3 linked regions of the Pelodiscus sinensis genome follow. The protein of the gene in region 2 interacts with the protein of the main gene of each other region in a pairwise test. Links are inferred from orthologs where the notes say so. Each region holds a gene or a part of one and is shown on either strand. Other genes may lie near its edges.

Evidence for each region.
Region 1: the proteins of RBFOX2 (region 2) and HMGA1 interact in a two-hybrid assay, tested with the Homo sapiens proteins (2 studies listed by BioGRID and IntAct, with this or other methods). The link is inferred for Pelodiscus sinensis from reciprocal best matches to the Homo sapiens genes RBFOX2 and HMGA1.
Region 3: the proteins of RBFOX2 (region 2) and RBM42 interact in a two-hybrid assay, tested with the Homo sapiens proteins (2 studies listed by BioGRID and IntAct). The link is inferred for Pelodiscus sinensis from reciprocal best matches to the Homo sapiens genes RBFOX2 and RBM42.

What each region holds. Positions count from the first base shown.
Region 1 is NC_134737.1:11,423,609-11,430,730, reverse strand, and holds the start of HMGA1 (high mobility group protein HMG-I/HMG-Y), read right to left. Parts: upstream 3,006-7,122; 5' UTR 2,987-3,005; coding exon 2,865-2,986; intron 1,344-2,864; exon of another isoform or gene 1,270-1,343; intron 1-1,269. UniProt on the Homo sapiens protein: HMG-I/Y bind preferentially to the minor groove of A+T rich regions in double-stranded DNA. It is suggested that these proteins could function in nucleosome phasing and in the 3'-end processing of mRNA transcripts.
Region 2 is NC_134711.1:93,540,670-93,548,316, reverse strand, and holds the start of RBFOX2 (RNA binding protein fox-1 homolog 2), read right to left. Parts: upstream 3,014-7,647; 5' UTR 2,775-3,013; coding exon 2,586-2,774; intron 1-2,585. UniProt on the Homo sapiens protein: RNA-binding protein that regulates alternative splicing events by binding to 5'-UGCAUGU-3' elements. Prevents binding of U2AF2 to the 3'-splice site.
Region 3 is NC_134734.1:4,920,421-4,927,449, reverse strand, and holds the start of RBM42 (RNA-binding protein 42), read right to left. Parts: upstream 3,006-7,029; 5' UTR 2,931-3,005; coding exon 2,782-2,930; intron 1,389-2,781; coding exon 1,235-1,388; intron 1-1,234. UniProt on the Homo sapiens protein: Binds (via the RRM domain) to the 3'-untranslated region (UTR) of CDKN1A mRNA.

The sequences.
Region 1 (7,122 bases), on a different chromosome or scaffold from region 2:
GATCTGACCAAATGGGCACCACCACCCTGGCATTTTTTAATAGAGGTCTTCACAATTTGCTCCCAATTTTTTCTCCTAAAGATTTGGGTGCAACGTTTCTTGGTTTGGTCCCAGTTCTGCAAGGCCTCCTGTAGTTCAGTGAGTCCCAGGGTGCTAATGCAGCTCACCTATACATACTTCAGCTAGCTTTAATCCAAGCAGCAGGGGCATGGGCTATATGAGGCTGCCTAGAACCCAGATCAATTACTTGAGGTGGTCAGCCTGTGGTACTGCGACTTCACGGCGCCAAATCCACGTGCTAAAAGCAGATTAAAAGTAGCTCTGGTACATCAACATAAGCTGCAGTCGTGTCCTGGAATTGCAGCACAGATATACTGTAAGTATCACATGTGTGTGTCTTCTGGACCATTGTACTTGGGCAGTGGTTTTCTACCTTCTCCAAACTGATCTGACCCCATTCCATCAACTTACAGCAGTAGAAGTGTTTCAGGACCTTCCTCCTAGCTATAAAGAAAGAGGAGGTTTGCAACCTCCCCCTGGAACCTGATCGCAACCCCCCAGGAAAACAGGGAGCCCATTTAATTAGCACTGAAAGCGGTTGTGCAGAGAGATTAAATCTCTAGCAATGCCTTTGCAGCGCTAACAAGACACAATGGTTTTGAAGATGCTTCAGTTCCATTTACTCTCTCAGCTGTAGCAACCACACAGGGTCCCCTTTACAGAGGGCTACCCTCAGCAATGGGTAGTTTTGCTCCAATTCACACCAGCACAATTCACCCCGTCGTGACATCCATGCAGCCTTCCTCGCCAGGGCTTCACTGCTACAGCCCAAAATGGGAAGTTCAGATTCCTAAACAAGTTGCATAGTGGGATCAAAGCCCAAGGAAACCACACACGCATCCTGAATGCACAGGCCTTCTAGGTTTTTTAAAAAAAGTGCATATGGGCTCATGTTCAGTTGTGGAAGTGACTCACGAGTTAGTAAACCTCAGAAGCCGCAGCCTCATGTAAACACCCCTATGCATTACTCACTACAGCCAAAAGCTATTCAAGGATTCTCTCGCTCAGCCCTAATGTTTTGGTTTGTTTTTAAAAGTTAAATTCATGGTCACTTGGGTACCTTCCAAGCCAGGATGCTTCTCAGAGGTGATACATCCTTTGAGCATCTGTCTCTGAAAATCTGGCCATGCAGAGCTTTGGACTCACAACATACTTCCCTCTGCCCCACAGAGAAACCCCTCTCCAGCAGCTGCATGGGGCAGGACTCACCCCACTGTGCTAATTCAGGGTCCCATCTCCCCATTTTGAGCCAGTAGCGAGGTTTTTGGCAGAGCTGTGTTACCCTGCAGGAAAAGAGAGCCAGGAAGTAGGCTAGAAACACAAATCCTTTTGTAGATGGTCCTACCCAGCATCCAGGAAGCTGCATGAATAGATTTGCAGCTTCTCTGGGCTAAACCCCTTCCAGTTTTTGCAGCAGCTCTGATAGGCAACCTCAGTGCAGCATTATGGGGCACTGGGAAACTGCGGATATCTGTGCAGGGATGTCATAGGTCTCTTCCCTGTCTAGGCCAGGTCTACACAATAGCCATGCCACTGTAGTGCCGTGGCGTAGATGGAAGATTTTTGTGGCATCATCTTAATTAATCCACAATAGCTAGGTGGAGGGATGAGTCCTTCTGTCATTGTCCACCTCCACACCCGGGGTTAGGTTCACCTAACCACACACAGTGCTCAGGGCATGAAGTTTTTCACAGCCCCCCAGGGACACAGGTCGACCTAAGCTTTAGGTGTAGACCAGGCCTCTGGCTTACGAAGAGAAGCAGTCAGTGGTGCAGGAGGAGCTAGTCAGGTCACATGGCTGTCTTGCTGTGCCCTGAACCCCGCGGGCAGGAAGCGAAAGCACAGCAGACACACGCAGCTGGCTGGCTGACACCTGAGGAAGGGACCTGATACTCCGGCTGTTCTTTCGGACGCACAAGCCTCCGGCGTGTCTCCACACCCTAGCCCAGTTTCACAGCACCATTCCAAGCAACCAGCCCTGCCGATCCAAGGCCCAGTCACCACCTCCCAGATGAACCACACACACAAAAAGGGAGACCCAGTGGAGACCCATCTCCTGCGTACATCTCAGTCTCATCGTGTGCAAGAAGGCAGAGCAGCCGCGCAGGGACACCATCAAAGCAGGGTGGTGCCAGCAGCAAGGGAATAGCATAAATAAAAACCTGTTTGATTGAGGAATAGAGGAGGGCTGGAGGGGGAAGGACCGGACAGGATGTGCATGCAACTCCATCCCTATTAACTTTAGGAACATTCCAATGCTGTACGAGAGCAGCCCAATCCTTTTAAATGAGCACAATAAAAGGAAGTGAGAAGGGGGAGGGAGAGAGAGGTCACAGGAAGAGACACCACCAGAAGCCCTGGAGGGTAGAATAAAAGCCACCCATTTGGAGAAGGGCTTGATTCCAGGAGAAAGGGCTGGCCCCCTCCTCAAGAGGAAGGAGCGGGAGTGGAAAGAAACCTGGTAAAGTTTACAGCGGGGGCAGGCCACGGTCTGTTCCCCCCCTCCCCACTTTTGGACTGCCACTGAGGCCAGCCCCAGCCTCCAGAGGGGGCGGAAGCGGAGCTCTTCCTGGGGGGCTATCTGGAGCCCCCAGGAAACCCGGCCTGGCCCCCAGCTGGGAGGCAAGCGTGGGAGATCCCAGGTGCTGGTACTTCCCACCACACACAAGATTGGCAGCGCAGCTCGATCGCTCTCAGCACCCCGGCGCTGCAGAGTGTGCCAGCCCCCTCCTCCCGGGGGGGGGGGGGGGAGAGCCATGCACCCCCCCCTAAAAACCACCCCATCTCCATGGGCACACACCGACCTTAGCATCCACCTCTCTGGTCCCCAATGGGAACAAGCCGGAGGGGCAAATGGAGCCCTCCCCCCGCGCACGCCCCCCCGCAGCGGCTTTACCCCCGTCTGGTCGCGGCTGGAAAGAGACATGGCCTCGGGCCCGGCCCCTTTAAAGGGGCAGGAGAGGGGGCGTCCCAGCGCGCTACCTGCCCGCTGCACAAGGCACAAGGCAGCCCGCCGGCTCCGGCCGCTATTGGCAGAGCCGCAGCGCACAAGACACGGCGAAGGGGCAGGAAAGCGCTGTCGCGCGATTTGAAAATGAAACCGGCTCGGAGTGTGCGTATTTGCAAAGCTCGCAAATGCTGGAAGGGGGGGGGGGGGATCAGGAGCACCGAGAGCTCAGCCAAAGCCACCCACCCTCCCCCGAGCCCTGCAGCGGCCACACTCCGCCAGCCGCCCGGAGCCGATTGCAAGCTAGTGTCCCCCCCCCCAGCCACTGCTGCTCCACCCCAGCGCCCAGGTGGGGTGGTCTCCGGAGGGGCTTCCATCCATCAGCTCGGAGACCTGCTGAGGAAAGGCCCCCCGCTCCCAAAGCAGGTGCTTTAAGGATAAAAATAAAGCAGGGTGGAGAGGCAGCATTGCAGTTTCTGCCCCCCCCTCCAGCCCCGTGCAAGCCCCCCCCCCCCACCTGGCATACTGCAATGCACGATGCGAAGCAAAGCAAAAGGGCACATCGATTCCGCATGCCTGGCTTGTTTTCCTCTGCAAATTCTTAAAAACAAACAAGCAGGCTTCAGAATTACTTTTTTTTTTTTGCAATTGGAAAATGATTTTTTAGCCCCCCCCCCAAGCTGCACATTCGACTAAAAAATGGTAAAAAAAACGAAAAGAAACATCAACTCCCCCCCCCCACACCTCCTCCACCCAAATCAAAACGAAAAAAAAAAAAAAAAAAAAAAAGGCCAGACACTCACAATTGCTCTCGGTCTCGGCTCTGTGTGGTGTTGTGTTTTTTTTTCCTTGTGAGTCTGTGTTGTGATCAAATTAAACCCCAACCCCCCTTCTGGTTGCTGCTGATTGCAAATGCGGATCTGAAACAAGAAGGCAGGGACTCACTCACATACATATACAGACCAGCCAGGGCTCTCTTATTTATATAAATAAAAAAAATTGTTCCAAGAGGAAGGAAGCTGGGTCAAAATCATTTGCACGGGGGAGGGGGGGAGGGGGAAATAGGAAGGGGACCAAAAACAAAAAAAACCTCCAAGCCTTACAGGAGGGACTATCCAGCTACTAAAAATAGCAAAATCACACTCTAAATTAAATAAGGGCAGGCTGGCTAAGCTTAGGGGAGTGTTAAGCCCTTCTAGTTGAGGAAGGGTGGAGCTCAGCAGACGCTACGTCATCACCAGTGGGTGGGGAACATGCAAAGAAGGGGAGGGGAAGGGTGATTTAAAAGTGCTGCTTGGTTAAAGCCAATGTTGGAAGGTGGGTGGAAAATGGCTAAGAAAGAACCATCACTAGCAAAAACCAGCAGGAGCAGCCAGGACCACTGTCTCCTTCCCCCTTTTAACAAAACAAATCTGGTAAGATGAAGGAGAGGGGAAGAGAATTGTTTTTCAGAGTTGTCATTTAGACACATAAATATTTAAAGAGGGTAAAAGAAAGCCCCTCAATTGTTCTTTGGTTTAAAGGAGAAATGATTTCTGTATGGTTCCTGTGGGATAGGTAGCAGGCAAAGGGCTGAGATATGAAGCTATTTATTATTTTTGAGAGCGATGCTTGCAGGCAGCTTTAGACCCTCAATTTTTTACAAAAATCCCCCTTTTTACATGCATGAAGTCATTTTGATTGTGAGCAAGGGTGGGACCTGTTTTTGGGACCTGCTTGTGCTGTTCTATGACTATGTAAGTCCTGGTTTACACCAGTGGTGGGTGAATGAAAGATCAGGACACTGTACTGTAATGTAGGGAACTTTTCCACAGCCTGGGCTGAATATCAATAGATTGTCTTGTCACCTCCCCTCCTATTTGTGATTGTTCTAGCCCACCTCTGACCCATGTTCTCCATTGCATAGTATCTGTGTAGTAGCTATGGTAATTGCTTACATGGAAAAGTGACATTAGGAATGTATTATTTAATGTATCTTTAGATTATTTTAACATGATTTAGCTGCTGGTAATCAGGAAAAACGAGCCCCACATGGTCAGCTACAAACCACCAGCCCCCATTTTTTTTAACCTAAGTTATTCTAAGATCAAAGTCTATTAAAAGTGAAAGGATTTTTAAACTCCAATTCACTTGTCCCCCATTATGGCCTTTTGTGTATGTTTTACATTTCTCCCCACCTGGATGAGGAAATGAACGTTTCTCTTTTGCTGAGGATCATTTTCCCATCCAAGTTCTTCCTCTGACTTTGGGCTTCAAACTCTGCAGTTAAAAGTAGTTTCATTGTCATTTTCTTCTGAAACTGAAGACTCATCCAGGGAGCCAAAGTTTTAAAATCTGGGTGCCTAAAGTTAGATTCCTAACTTAAGATTTAGGAACCTAAATCAAAGTAGCTGGTTTTTCAGACCTGCGGAGTAGCTGCAGCTTTTGCAAGCTCTTGGTCTGCAGTAAGCTCAGCATGGCCACAAAGATTCACCAATGCCAATTTTATGCAGGATCAAAGCTATGGCTCTAGATGAGGGCTGAGATTTTCAGTATCTTTGAAAATCAGGCCATTTTATAGGAGGGATAAGATTTTTGCCCAGTGCTTAGCACAGTGGAACATTGGTCCATATCTTCAGCTCCTACGAATGAATGCAATACAAAATATAATAGTATTTTGAAAAGTACATAAACCCTTTAGGAACATAGAACACTGAGAAGAAACCTAAAGGAGTTAGGTACTGAACTCTCATTATTCAGTGGGAGTTGAGTGCCTAACTTTCTGACTTGTTTGACAATTCCCATCACAAATCCCAGTCAGTAAAGTTTCTTTTTCATTAGTCCCTTTTTGAAAAAGTGGTTGCAAATTCTCCTGTGAGTTCTTAATTTAAGCACACATTGTTATTCCTGGCAGCTGCAAAGTTTGAAACAGACTAAAAATGAAAGGGAAACTGACCAGTCTGTTTTTAATGTATAGAAAAATACACAAATGGCATAAATGGAAAAAAAAGTAAAAATTCTTAGACTAGTTTTATAGTGGGTAATGCCACTGAATTCAGTGAAGTAATTCCTCATTAACGCTGGTGTGAGAGAAAAACACCATGATCGGGGCTTGATTCATCTCAGTTGACAGCAGTGCAAGTGAGGTGAGATGCAAACCAACCATGCTGATGTGTTTTTGTTTTAAACCTACTTTTTTACAATATAAAGTTTTAGTAACACAGGTAGATGCATATTATTTTTTTGTTTTAAATAAAAGTTAACAGTAAATAATAAAATCACAGGTCTAAATCTTCATTGCCTTGTGTTATTTCCACCTGTGCCAACTTGGTGACCTCCTTAGGCCTCTTCCAGCTCTATGATTCTAAGTGATTTTAAAATGCTGGCATTTTGGCTGGACAGTGATTGACACCCACATTGCCTAAACAAAATGACCCCAGCAAGGTGTAAGACAATGGAGAATAAACTCTGTCACATTTCATGGAGTTTTCCTTTCATATGTCTAGTTCCTTTGCTGAGAGATTTTGCCCTATATTTCAAGGCTGCCTTCAAAATTTGGTTCCTTATTAGAATCATAGAATCCCAGGGTTGGAAGAGACCTCAGGAGGTCGAGTCCAGCCCCTTCTCCTGCCCAAAGCAGGACCAACCCCAACTCAATCATCCCAGCCAGGGCTTTGACAAGCCGGGTCTTAAAAACCTCTAAGGATGGAGATTCCACCCCCTCCCTAGGGAACCCATTCCAGTGCTTCCCCACCCTAATAGGGAAATAGGTTTTCCTAATATCCAACCTAGACCTCCCCCACTGCAACGTGAGACCATTGCTCCTTGTTCTGTCATCCGTCACTACTGAGAACAGCCTCTTTCCGTTCTCTTTGGAACCTCCTTTCAGGTAGCTGAAGGCTGCTATCAAATCCCTCTTCACTCTTCTCTTCTGCAGACTAAATAAGCCCTCAGCCTCTCTTCATGGGTCATATGCTCCAGCCCCCTAATCATTTTGGTCACCCCCCACTGGACCCTCTCCAATGCGTCCACATCCTTTCTATATTGGGGGGGCCTATCTATACTAGACGCAATACTCCAGATGTGGCTTCACCAGTGCTGAATAAAGGGGAATAATCACTTCTCTAGATCTGCTG
Region 2 (7,647 bases):
TGATATGATCTGAAGAGGTGGGTTTGCCCCACGAAAGCTCATCACCTAATAAACCATCTTGTTAGTCTTTGAAGTGCTATATGACTTTCTTTTGATATAATGGGGTGAGAAAGAGGGATGTGTGGTGGAACATGGGAAGTGGGAGGGATGTGGCAGAGAAAACAACCAGGAAGGGCCACACACAGGAGAGCGCCAGACTAATGCAACATAGTGGGGGAAACACTTCCATGGGACACAAATGTCCCTCCCTTCAGAGACTATTAAGAACCACAAACCCAAGCAGGAGTGAAAGTAGAAACCACACGATGAATTAATCTCATTGTTTTCAAAGAGCTCCAGCACATTCAGTGCAAGAAACAGCAGAAAGAAGCACTGAGACCAACTGCTTACCTCTAGCAGAAAAACACTGTGGCTACGTCTACACTGGCCCCTTTTCCGGAAGGGGCATGTTAATTTCAGCGATCGCAGTAGGGAAATCCGCGGGGGATTTAAATATCCCCCGCGGCATTTAAATAAAAATGTCCGCCGCTTTTTTCCGGCTTTTAGAAAAGCCGGAAAATAGCGTCTACACTGGCCCCGATCCTCCGGAAAAAGCGCCCTTTTCCGGAGGATCTTATTCCTACTTTGAAGTAGGAATAAGAGCCTCAGGAAAAGGGCGCTTTTTCCGGAGGATCGGGGCCAGTGTAGACGCTCTTTTCCGGCTTTTCTAAAAGCCGGAAAAAAGCGGCGGACATTTTTATTTAAATGCCGCGGGGGATATTTAAATCCCCCGCGGATTTCCCTACTGCGATCGCTGAAATTAACATGCCCCTTCCGGAAAAGGGGCCAGTGTAGACGAGCCCTGTGTAAAATACAGCCAGAGAGAAAAATAAATACACTCCATAATACCCTCTCTTTCGTTTAACAGTTGCACCTCCAAACTAGTTGTTATTTACAAGCATACAAGAGCATGATCCGACTAAGTGTCATTAATCTGTAAAACATATGCACGATGGCCGAACCATTTGCCTTTGCCACTCCCATCCATAGCATCTCCCAAGGCAGCACTGCCATTACACAGACTCTGATACTGTACACAGAAGCTACAATCAGAGGGAGATATTCAGCCATGGGGGAATGAAAGGCCCAGTGAAAAACAAATAGGATCAAAACTGCCAAGAGAAGAAATGTACTCTCAGTAAATTAAAAGAGTATATTGATATGACATGTGCCCATATGAATTCATAAACTGATGCCCATCTGTATCTATAGGAGAGCAGATTCTAAGGTTACAGACCAGATCCTCCTTGTTCACTCATGATATCCAAGACACCTCTGGCTCCATACTCTTAATACTTCAACCACATGATGCTTCTTACCACGCTGTAAACTATAGAAAATAGGAGTTCTGCTTTTTCCCATTTTTAATGAATGGGGGAATAATACTGAAGAAATAACAAGAAAAAGCAGTAAAGGAAATGCACAATAAGCAGCTGTCACCAATCTGGGGTACCCAAGAGAGAAATAGGCATCCAGTCAGTGCAACAGACATAGTAATCTGGGAAAAGAAAATATGTTAAAGAAGGGCAGTCCCCATGCTGAACACCAACAATGCTACAACATTCTTTGTCATTTTAGGCATTACTACACCTTTAACAGGAAAAGTCAGTGCTTAAAAAAACAAAATATGGGGCAGAATGATCTATTTTCAAGATTGTGCTTTTTTAATAAATTGGCGAACAGAACAGTAAAAGACAGTCTGAATACTGTATACCTTCACTAATTATAATACCTCAGATTACTATTAAATCAATTAGCAAAAAACACCTATTTTTACTTCAGTTTTACACTGAGCATTTAAAATCACTTTGTATGTGGTCAGTTTCATAATACCTCTTGTATTGCCCCATCAGTTTCTCCATTACTGAGGAGACCCTTACAATTGTCAACTGGGTGGCGGGACACAACCAAGTGAAAAAATTGCAGAATTTGTTTTTAAAGGAATTTTAATTAAAAAAAAATAAGCCACGTGATTTAAGAAAGTACTGGCAAATACAACAGCTTAAAAACGGTCCTTTTGATCAAACAGCTGAAATCCTCAGGGTCATTCTCCAGAATTAGCACGGTCTTCCCCTTAGAAACAGTAACTTCGTGGATTTGCTCGGCGCTGGGACAAGGAAGGACGAAAACCCCTCTCGGAACACGGGCTTCATTTCTGCTACCAATGGGACCACCAAGCTGCGGGTGGGGAATTGACCCCCCCCCCAAATAAATCCCACATCCCGCTCCGATCTCAGCCTACGGCCGCAGGAGACTGCCCCATCCCTGTAGGCCAGCGCCCCGCTGCTCCAGAGCTGCTCTCAACCCTCCCGCTGGGTCGCTACCTGGCCAGCCGCTTTCCCCTTTTCGCGCCGCTCCCCGCGGCCCGGCGCCCCTGCTCCCCCCCGCCCCGCGGACCCCACCGCTCCTCGAAGCGAGGGTCTCGGCGCCCCACATCCCGGCTACGTGTCCGCAGGCAGCGCGGGGGGGGGCGCCCCCCAGCCTACACCGCCCCCCGGTCGCGGCCCCCCAGCGCAGCCTGCCCGCTGGGCCCGGGGCCCCGCTACCTGCATGCCGCCGCCGCCGCCCGCCTCCGCCTCCGTCCTCAGCCGCTTGCTGTGGCCAGCCTCGGCGCCGTCCCCTCCGGGCATGGGCTGCTCCTGCTCCGGCTCCCGCTTCACGCCCCGGGGGGCTTCGCCGCCGGGGACGAGCTGTTGCTGCTGCTGCTGCTGCTGGGGCTGGGTCCCCTCCGCCATCCGAGCCCGACCCCCCGGCCGCCCCGCGTCCCCTGGGGGAGCCGCCGCCGCAGCCGCACACGGGCGAGAGGGTCCCCGCCTGGCGCGATCGCCCGGTGGCGCTGCGGGCCCGGGGCCGGCGGGACGAGAGAGCGCGTCGCGGGAGCAGCAGAGTCCGTCCCGCAGCGGCCGCTCCACCAACCTACTGGGCACTGACTCGGGCCGGCCACAGGGGAGGAGGCGGTGGCGGCGGCAGCCGGGGACGGGGGGGGGGGAGGGGCCGGAGCTCCTCGGCTATCTCCGGACACGCCAGCTAGGGAGCCGAGGCAGCGCGACCCCGCTCGGCAACCTTCGGGAATGAGGGAGGGGCGGGGCCTCGGCAACCTTCGGGAATGAGGGAGGGGCGGAGCCTCGGCAACCTTCGGGAATCAGGGAGGGCGGGGCCACGCGCGGGGTGGTGGGTACTTGGAGCCTGCCTGCCCGGAGAAGGAGAGCGGGTGGGAAGGGGAGGGGCTCTTGCGTCCCCAGCCCGGGCACGCGCGCCCTGCTGTGCTTGGTGCTCCCTGCCCCCGCTCACTCGAGCGGATCCGCGCCTGCCTTAGCTGCCCGGTGGTGAGGGGAGCATTAAACGCGACGCCTTTTCACCTCCTGGCTTGTCTGCTGCACGTCGGGCTCTAGGTATGAGAAACAGGCGCCCCCAGTGCGTGCCCGCTTATTCACTGGCATGTGGAGTGTTGGCATGCCTGCTGGCAGCGCTATGCAGCCACAAGCTGGCCGCTCTCTCTTCTCACATGAGCTTTCTGGGGCTCTAATCCTTTTCACTGCCTGGCTTGCAAATCTCCCCCTATCTGCTACATCCTTGTGGAGACAAAGTGAACGCAGCCAGCGCTGCAGGTGAGGGCAAATTCTCAACTTAATCTACTCTATATTTTAGAGAGGTGGTTTCAAGATCTCCTCCTAAACAGGAGGGCTGTGTCTAGACTGGCCAGCTTTTCCGGAAAATCAGCCGCTTTTCCAGAAAAATTTGCCAGCTGTCTACACTGGCCGCTTGAATTTCCGCAAAAGCACTGACTTCCTACTGTCTGAAATCAGTGCTTCTTGTGGAAATACTATGCTGCTCCCGTTCAGGCAAAAGTCCTTTTGCGCAAAGCTTTTGCGCAAAAGGGCCAGTGTAGACAGCTCAGATTTGTTTTCGGGGCTTTTTTGCGGAAAAGTGCATCTAGATTGGCATGGATGCTTTTCCGCAAAAAGTGCTTTTGCGGAAAAGCGTCCGTGCCAATCTAGATGCTCTGTTCCGAAAATGCCTTTAACGGAAAACTTTTCCGTTAAAAGCATTTCTGAAAATCATGCCGATCTAGACGCAGCCCAAGAGCTAGGACAGGAGTAGGCAATACTTTCTGAGGGGGAGCACTCCAAGATTTTGGTAAGTGGCCATGGGCTGCATTTCAATGAAGGGAGTGGGGTCTGGGATGGAGACTGAGTGCAGAAGGGAGCATGGGGTAGGGTATTAGGGTGCAGGAGAGGGTGTGGGATCTGAGAGAAAGTTTGGGTGAAGGAGGGGGTTGTGACCTGGGGTAGGGGGTTGGGATTCAGTGTTGGAGAGAGCATGAGTGCAGGAGAGGATTCTGGCTTGGAGAGGGAGGGGTTAGGAAGAGACAGAGGGTCTGGGAGGGAGTTGTGACCTGAAACGGGGAAAGTAGGTGCTGAGGATTTGGGTGGTGACCTGGGGAATGGGAGTGCAGAGGGTTGGAGGGGGAGATTGGTGTGCAAGAGAGAGTGCAGGGTTGGAGGGGGAGCTGTGACCTGGGGAATGGGAGTGCAGAGGGTTTTTGCAGTGACCTGGGGCAGGGAGTGAGGGTGTAGGCGGGGCCGGACTAGGGGGTGAGCAAGCCAGGCAGCTGCCCGGGGTGCCAACTGATGGGGGCGCCTGATGGCAGCTGTAAGGGGCACGCGGCGTCCCACAGCGCACCAGCCCCCCATCCCCCTGGCGCCAGCCAGTAGCACCCTTTCCCCCACAGCTGTGGGGCCCTGCATGGCCAGGCGCGGCCCGCCCTGGGCTGCGTGCCAGCAGCAGTGGCTGGGCCGGGCTGGGCAGCGCATGCGCCCCAGGGGCAGACGCCGGGCTGCGTGCATGCAGCCGTACGCCCCGGGGGCGGGCCTGCACATACGCCATGCTCCTGGGGGCAGTGCCGCGCGCCCGGGCCCAGGGCGCCAAAATGGCTCTGGCTGGCCCTGGGTGCGGGAAGGGATGGGGTGCCGGAAGGGGTGGGGTGCCAGATGCTGATTCTAGGAGCTGCTATGATTGGGCTGGGAAGGCAGCATGCAAAGTCTTCCTCCTCCTCTCCTCCCCCAGTTGCGTAGTGCAGAGAGGCACATGTAGGGAACAGCTAGTGACTTTGAGCTTGGGTCTGTGACAAGCAGGGAACGTGCCTGAAGGTCCCGGTAGGGTAGGCTGCAGGCTTGATCTGGTGCATGGGCCATATCTTGTCCACACCTGAGCTAGAACCACCAAATTCAATATACCAGCTTCCTCTTATCATAACTTAAAACAATGTAAGGATTTGGTTGCGCCAGGAAAATGGCACGTGCCTGGAATGGGATTGTTTCTCACAAAACCAATCAGAAGAGAGACAGAGTCACCAAATCAAGTACAGTCCTCAAAACTGACACAGGACAGTTTTACCGGTTATACTGGTATAATTTTACCAATACAATTAAATCAGTATAATTATACCAGCACAACTCCTTGTGTGGACACTCTTATTCCAGTTTAAGAGTAGCTTTTTCTGGTTTATCTGAAAGCCTTTCCGAAGTAACATAAGCTAAATTGAAAACAAAGTACCAGTAGGCCTTCTACTCTTAAAAATTCAATCAGTCTAGCTACCTAGCTCAGGACAGTGAAAAATGTCATGCCCAATGCAATGTGGGCAGGTCACTGTAGATGCAGCTTGAATTCTTCATCAATGTAGTTCCCACCTCCTAGAGAGAGGCATTAACTACACCAACAGGAAAAAGCATCTATTCATGTAGGATTATCTACACTACTAAAGCACAGGTGTGCTGGTGTAGTGTAGACATATCCTTGCACTGAGATAAGTGTCCATACAGGGATTTGTACTGGAATAAATTTTTTAGTTTTAATTATCACCTTAGCTTTTAATGGTATAACTTTCCAGTGTGGCCTAGCCCTTAGGCCTTGTCTACATGAAAGGTATTGTTTTGTTGTTGTTGTTGTTTGTTTATTGGGTGAGGCCAGAATTTGCCCCATATTTTGTATGCTATTTGATAAATTCTCAATTAGAGACCAGTGTAAACCACAGAATTAGTCTTCTTTATATTTCGGTATCTGAAGTTGTTACATAGGAACAGGTCATTGTTCCATCTGGCTGATCATCCCACCTCTGACAGTAATCCCCCCTTGATGCTTCAGAGCAGTGGTTTTCAAACTATGGGTCATGACCCAGTACTGGATCGTAGAATGTCAGGCACTGGGTCTGGTTGCTGCAGGGGGATCAAGTGATCAGTGAGGGTGCTATGGCAGCTACCTGTACCTCAGAAGCAGCCAGCTGCAGGCCCAGCTCCTAGGTGGTGGGGGGAGAGCACACAATGTTCTGTGCACTGCCCCTGACCTGAGCACTAGCTCCGCACTCCCATTGGCTGGGAACCTGCTGCTGGTTGCTTCTGGGGCGCAGCATGGTCTGTGGTGGCAAGAGAGGCAGGAAGCTGCCTTAGCACCCCTGCTGCATCACTGGTCAGGAGCTGCTTAAGGTAAGCCCCTCTTACTCCAGCTCTGATACCCTCCCCCCCGCAAGCCGGAGCCCCCTTTTACACTCTGGTCAAATTATGTTGGGTTGCAGGCATCAACAATTTTCTTCAGTTGGGTCATAAGAAAAAGTTTGAAAACCACTGCTTCAGAGGAAAGGGAAAAAACCTATGTTGGACCTATCCAATACAGGCAGTCCCCGACTTACGCGGATCCGACTTACGTCGGATCCGCACTTACGAACGGGGCTTTCTCGCCCCGGAAGTCGGGGCGAGAAAGCCCTGTTCGTAAGCTGCTCCGGTGCCCCTGGTCTGCTGGAGACCGTCTCCAGCAGACCAGGGGCACCGGGCGGGTTCCCGCGCTTCTGAGGCCTTGCCAGAGCAAAGCCTCAGAGGCGCGGGGAACCACCGCTGCTGCCGCTTCAATCTGGGTGCCTGTGGTCTGCTGGGGACGGTCCCCAGCAGACCACAGGCACCCAGATTGAAGCGGCAGCAGCGGCGGTTCCCCGCGCCTCTGAGGCTTTGCTCTGGCAAAGCCTCAGAGGCGCGGGACCCCCCCACGGCTGCGGCTTTAGTCCGGGAGCCTGTGGTCTGCTGGGGACCGTCCCCAGCAGACCACAGGCTCCCGGACTGAAGCCGCAGCCGCGGCGGGGTCCCTCGCCTCTGAGGCTTTGCCAGAGCAAAGCCTCAGAGGCTCTGCTCCCCGTGTCTCTGGTCTGCTGGGGGGGGGGGGCAGCTAGTGTGCTCCCCCCCCCCCCAGCAGACCAGGCTTTTGTTTTGGACTCTGGGGCAGAGCAGCTGGGGCGCTGCCGATTGGTCCTGCAGCGCCCGCTCTGGGCACTACTGGACCAACCCGGCAGCACCCCAGCTGCTCTGCCCCAGGTCCTGATTCAGCCGCTGCTGGTCAGTTTCAGCAGCGGCTGAATCAGGACGCCTGGGGCAGAGCAGATGGGGTGCTGCTAGGTTGGTCCAGTAGCACCCAGGAGCGGCGCTACTGGAGCAACCCAGCAGCACCCCAGCTGCTCTGCCCCAGGCGTCCCCAAGTCAGCTTCTGCTGAAACTGACCAGCGCTGACTACAGGAAGCCCCAGGCAGAGTTGCTCTGCCCGGGGCTTCCTGGAATCAGCTGCTGA
Region 3 (7,029 bases), on a different chromosome or scaffold from region 2:
TAGAACAAGACAGGGCAACAGCTTTCAACTTTTCTTCATTTACAGTCCCCTAAAAACCCTGGAGATGCAGGCCTCTTTGGAAAGCTTAGACAGTCTGCAGATCCCCAGGTTGAAAACCCCCAAGGAAGGGTGTGAATTTAAAAGCGCAGTACCTATTCCTATGTGAACACTTTTATTCACTTGGGAACATGCAAACACGGAAGTTATTTGGGAACACTTGTTCCCAACTAGTTGCACACACAAACAATTTTAAATCTCCTGGGGAAGGAATGTCTGTTTCATTGTGTATTTGTACAGCACCTAGGAGAAGCCCTGCACACATGGCAGAATTTGATTTTTTTTAAAACAGTTATGATACTAATATTGATCCCCCCCGACACACACACAATTTATCCATTTAAATTTCCACAGTTGCAGGAAATTATCAGAAGTCGGACATTTATTTACCAACAGTAGATGCTGAGATTCAAAAAGTTATAAGTTTATAACAGTTAAAACACAACCTGTTAACATCACATTTCAAAATATGCAAAGTAAACGACCTTAAATCAAATAAGTTGTCAAGCTAATTTTGCTTACTTTGAATGTAAATTTTGACTATCATGCATGGAAAAATCTTTTCAGCATTTGCAAGTAAAATTGACATCTCAAAAAAAATCAATTCCTTCCCAGCCTAGTAATGAATAGGGCTGTAGGAGCTACTGCAACACAAATAAGGGAATGTCACAATGGAGAAAGGTGTTTTGCATTTCATGACATTTCCGCCACAATTTACTCCACCACTAACAAAGCAACCTACAAGCACAGCCCGCAAAAAGCCAATGTGGGAGAAAGACACATGCACAGCCTGTCCCCCGAGGTCAATGAGAGACGCCATTACGTTGATTTACTAACCTGGAGGAAAAGATACTTTGGGTGGGCATATGTACATATAATAAGCAGGAGGAGGGGATCACTCATTCCCTAGTGAGGGGTGTCACCACTTACCCCTGAGCAGGCAAGATGGACATGCAGCAGTGGCGGCAGGGTATAGATGGGGGACGGGGAGAGTGGAGTCACAGAGAGCCCAAGTCATGGCTGTGGCCAGCATGTGCCCAGGGAATCTGTTTTTTAATCTCTTGGCTGCCACCAACTACATTCTCTCATTGCATTTCTGCGCAACAAACAGCAGCTGCACCCAGCACCACCCCTGTGCTGCTCATGGCCTTTGGTGAGGGACAAGTCAGTGCCTTACCTGCTGGTAGGTGTTGGTGGCAATAATGGGCCGGATCACTGGGACTGGGGGCACCGCGGGCACAGCTGGCACTGCCAGAGCTACTGGAACAGCCTCAACCACTGGAGCCCCAGGAGGGAGGGAAACAGGGGCCCCCAGCACCTCCTGCTCAAACCTGTACAGTGTGAGAAATGGAAGCGTGTTGAAGTTTCCCCACCATCATCTCAGGGCCCCGAGACCCCACGTCTCCCTCCTGATGCAAGGTCCATTCCTTCTTCAATTCAGGATCTTTTACTGCTTTGCCCTGGTATCTGCCCACCTCCAGCCCTCTTCCACCCAGCTCTCCATTCCCTCCCGGAAAAGGCTCCCCATCACCCTTCCAAACACCCCCAAGGACTCCTATGGCTCCTATACTAGGCCTGGGCAAAATTCAGCCAATGAGGAGCTCCAGGCAGGCTCCCCTGCTTGCCCCTGCATGCCACTCAGAAAAATGGCTGCTGAGTCCTGTTTTTTTTTAAAAACTGGAGGGGATGGAGGAAAGCTTCAGGAGCTATTTGAATAACAGGCAGCCAAGAAGAACCCCCTCCCCCCACCCTTCTTGGCTCAGTTAGCCACAAAAGCACATGGCTGGGCAGGCAGGCAGGTTTGGCTGCTGGCTGGTAAGTCTCCTGGCCAGAACCTGCCTCTGGCACTCCAGCTCCCATCTTCCCCAATCCTCTGCCCCACCCAGTCAACATACCCAAATCCTCTGCCTCCCTTTTGCATCCATACCCCCTCCCAGATCTGGCACCTCAGTCTCCTGACCCAGATCACAATCCCGTCCTAACATAGGTCACTTCCCAAACTCTAGTCCCCTGACCTAGGTCACAATGACTGCCTTTACCCAATCTCCCTCCCAGCCTCCATTCTCCCTTCTGCACCCCAATCCCTGCTCCACCCAGCCTCCATCCCAGCCCCTGCACCTCCTCCATTAATATCATGGAAGAGTACAGCCCATGACCACTTTCCAAAATCTTGGAGTGCCCCCCCTCCCCATACAAAATATTGCCTACCCCATCCTACACTCTTGCACCCACTGAAAGATTTCCATCCTTTTGACCTTCAGTCTCCCTCCAGAACACTCCACTGCTCAAATATCTACTGACCTATAACACCACAGTCCCTTTCTCCTTCTCCCTCCAGAATTCTCTGTTCTGGGCTATGCACCAGCTTTAATTCCTCATCTGAACCGGCCCATTCCCATCAGCTCCTCCACAACCTTTTCATCCTCCTTCCACCTGCTCCACGTCACTCCCCCCCCCCCAGGGGTCTCAGTCTTTTGCCCTAGCTTGGTTGAGCCACCCCCTAGGTCTCCCCTTGCGTCTCTCCCCACCCATGGGCTCCCTCCTCCCTTTTAGCCGGGGATCTCCACGGATCCTCCCGTCCATGCTCCAGCTCCCCCCTCTCCCCCCACCTGCTCTTGATCCCTCCCAGCCCCTGGAGCCTGCAGGCTCCTCTTTTCCTGAAACCAGGGACCAGATCCCCGCCCTCAGACTCCCCCTAAACTCCCCCCCCCCCCCCGCGCTCACAGCGCCATCTCCGCCTCCATCTCTTTCAGTCGCTCCTCCCCGCTCTTGGCGCCCCCCGCAGCCGCGGCTCCCCCGGCGGGGCCGGGTGCCGGGGCGGGTGCCGGGGCCGGAGCCCCCCCGGCGGGGGGCGGGGCAGGCGGAGCCGCCATGGCGGGGTCTGGACTCAGCCTCCGCCGCTCCGCGCTGCGGCCCGACGCACCCGCTTCCGGCGGGCCGGTGATGACGTAAGGAGGCTTCCGGCGCGGAGCCGGAAGTTAAACACCACTGTGGAAGTTGTCTCTCATCATTTCCGGCGCGATCTTATGGCGTAACAGAAGGGCGGGGCGCACGGGAAACCTTCCTAGCGGGAAGGGGGCGTGGCTTGCATGTCTCACGTGGGACGGGGCCGAGAAGGCAGGGCTCCCATTGGCCTTTGCCCGGGGCACGTGATTCTAATTCATTTTCCGTCTCCTACGCCGAGTAGAGCGGCGAGTCCCGCAGGACCCCGCCCCTGCTCTGGCCCCGCCCCAAACACTGGCCCCGCCTCTCCCTCCCCATTGCCCAGCCCTCCCACTGCGCCCAAATTGGCCCCGCCCGCCCACGTGGCCCCTCCCCTCCCAGGCTCCGCCCCTGTTGGAGTCTCCCAGGCCAGTGTCGGGAAACACGTGGGCTGTGTCTAGACTGGCAAGTTTTTCCGGAAAATCAGCCGCTTTTCCAGAAAAACTTGCCAGCTGCCTACACTGGCCCTTGGATTTCCGGAAAAGCACTGACGATCTCATGTAAGATTGTCAGTGATCTTATGGAAATACTGTGCTGCTCCCGCTCGGGCAAAAGTCTTTTTCCGAAAGACTTTTGCGCAAAAGGGCCAGTGTAGACAGCACAGTACTGTTTTCCGCAAAAAAGCCCTGATGGCGAAAATGGCGATCGGAGCTTTTTTGCGGAAAAGCGCGTCTAGATTGGCCACAGACGCTTTTCCACAAAAAGTGCTTTTGCGGAAAATCACCCTGCCAATCTAGACGCACTTTTCCGAAAATGCTTTTAACTGAAAACTTTTCCGTTAAAAGCATTTTTGGAAATTCATGCCAGTCTAGACGTAGCCGTGGAGCGGTGGGAGACGGTCCAGAGGAGCAACAGACTGATGCGCAGTCTGGAGAACAGGAGCTAGGAGGCGGGGCTGGAAGAATCCAGAGTGTTTAGTTTGGAAAAGAGACGGCGGAGAGGGGGCGAGAGCGGTGTCCAAGTTTCAGAAAGGGCGTTACAAGGAGAAGAGAGAAATCTTGTTCTCCTTGGCCTCTGAGATCAAGAAGCAATGGGCTTGAATTGCAGCAAAGGAGGTTTAGGTTGCACATCAGGAAAAACTCCCTGGCTGTCAGAGTGGTGAAACACTGGAATAAATTGCTTAGGGTGGTTGTCCAATCTCCATCACTGGAGATATTTAAGAGCAAGTTAGAGAGACACCGGTCAGGGATGATCTGCATCAGTGGTCTCCAACCTTTTTAAACACAAAATCACTTTTTCAATTTAAGTGCAATGTAAGATCTACCTCAAACACAAATACCCTTGCCCACTTCCTTGCCCACCTCTCTGAGGCCTCACCCTCCCTCCGCCCTCGCTCCCTCCACCTTCCTCCTGGAATCTCAATCACTTTCACCAGGTTGGAGTGGGGGGTTGGGGTGCAGACTTTGGTCTTGGGCCACAGGGTTTGGCATGGGGGAGGGGACACCCTGAAAGTAGGGAACTGGGGAAGTTCTGAAGTGGTTTAGGGGCTAGGGCATTTGCCTGGGGAGAGCAGGGTGGTGGATTGAAGTCCCACTTTTGCCCACTCTGGGGGCAGCTGGACAGCAAACAAAGGATGCTAGAGACATAGACCTGGCTCCTGCATTTAGAAACCAGGATAAGGGACCCAAAGAAGGAAGGGTGTTAAGGTGGATTCTGGAGTGGCATAGCAATGTGTGCATTCACCTAGAGTGGTGAATTCAAGTACCACCTACCTACCTGAGGAACTGTTAACACAGATTGCCCCAGTGATGGAGCTGGCACCTGCAGTCCAAATGCAGGATTAGGGACCTGCAAAAGGTAGGGAGGTGGGATAGGTTCTGGTGTGGATTAGGAGATAAGGCATGAGCAGAGTGGTTGCACCCAAGCAGGATGAAGGACCAGCAGAAAGCTCAGAGCAGGAGGGGTGGTTTCTAGAGTGGTCTAGGAGATAGGGCATTCACTTGGGGACAGCGGGGTGGCATCCATAGTTAGAAAGCAGGATGAGATAACCCTAGTAGTTACCTCTCTCCACTCAGAAAACTGACCATTTATTCCTACCCTTTGTTTCCTGTCTTTTAACCAGTTATCAGTCCATGAAAGGACCTTCCCTCTTACGCCATGATAACTTACTTTACTTAAGAGTCTTTGGTGAGGGACTTTGTCAAAGGCTTTCTGGAAATCTAAGTACACTATATCCACTGGATCCAATCTTGTCCACATGTTTGTTGCCCCTCTCAAAGAACTCTAGCAGATTAGTAAGGCATGATTTCCTTTTACAGAAACCATGTTGACTTTCCCCTAACAAATTATATTCATCTTCACTATAGTTTCATCTAATTTGCCTGGTACTGATGTTAGACTTACTCATCTGTAATTGCCAGACGATTCCACCACCTTGTGTCCCCAGGCGAACGCCATATCTCCTAGGCCTCTCCAGAACCCACCCCACCTCTTTACTGGGGCAGTGGTGAGCTGCATACGGGCTGTGGCCTGAGGGCTGCATATGGCCCATTGGGGTTCTAGGTGTGGCCTGCGAGACATTTTGTTTCCCCTTGCCCATGGCCAGAGTTGCCAGATTCCGCTGCTTTCCGCCCACACAAGTGTTTTTGTTACTAAAGTGACGCTCACCTAAACGGCCCGTGGTGCGAGGGGCGCACGGATTGCACCAGCACTGACGGGGGGGGGGGGGGGGGGGAGCCGTGCGCTCGCTCTGCAGCCAGTCCACACGCTGTGACTGCTCCGTCAGCTCACCCGCTAATCCAAGGTGCGCAAGCGCGGACAGCAACTCTACCCTACCCAGGGAGACCGCCTGGGCTCCCACAGTCTTGCAGCTACTGAGCTGAAGGAGGCTGCTAACATGGCCCACTCACTAGCCGAGGTTGCCCATCGCTGGGGCAGTGCTGACTTTGAGGGCCTCAGGCAGATGGGCCGAGGGGCTCAATTTCTGTGAAGGGCTAACAGTGCCAGGAAACAGGCTAGTAGGACCCAAGAGGCTGGCTCCCTTCATTGCAGTCCAGGGGGTGGCTGTGAGCCAGCGGCACAGGGGAGGGGGAAGGAAAGGGGGCACTGAGCTGACATCGGTGGCAACTCCCGTACTAACTGGCACTTTGCAATTTTTTTCTTATAGAAATCTGCCCTGCATATCACTGCGTCTCACCTGAGGGCGCTCGTGTGTTTGTCCCAATTGACTACCCAAGAGCATGTGGAGTCTCCGTCAGCAGGCAAACTGTGCACTCACTCCGTGATATCATGGTGCTAAGGGACGGAAAGGCAAACTGCCTCAATAATACCTACAAAGGCTCCATGTCCCTCTCCCCGGGCGGCTTTGCTGCGAACATGAGTAAATGGCTAGAAGGAGAATGTCGGATTCTAACCAGCCTGGACAGAGACTTCGTGGCTTGTGTGACTCTGGTGATGGCAGGTTAGTTTCTGCTCTTGTGTCCTGGGATCATCTTTCCTCGCTCCTCTGCTAGGTTGTTTTGCACGTCTGCACCTCCCTTGGCATTGAACCAGCCGTGTAGAACGTTCCTTGTCATTTAACAAAACCTGGGATTGTAAGGACCGTGCCACTCGTGTGTTTGGGGTCAGATACTTTTCTGAGGTTCAAATGGCTGTAGGTCTAGTGTTCACCTGCACTTTGAAACACCATCCCCACTTCTCTAACTTTGTATTCCAAGAGCATCGCACCATGAGAAAATAAAGAAGAGGATCAGGGCTTGTCTACACTTAGGCCACACTCCACTAGCCGCACCTGAGATTGATCTTCTGGCGGTTGATTTAGCGGGTCTAGGAAAGACCTGCTAAATCAAACGCTGAGGGCGCCCCTGGTCATGGATGCTGGTACTCCTGGCAGTCAGGAGGGAGCCTTTGCTCTCATCAACCTCCCACTGTGAAGATGGTGCCAAGCTCAGCTTAAGGTATGTCGACTCCAGCTACGTTATTTACATCTCTGGAGCTGCGTCCCTTCAGCCGGACTTCCAGGGCTGGGGCAGAGCTGGCTGTAAGGGGTGT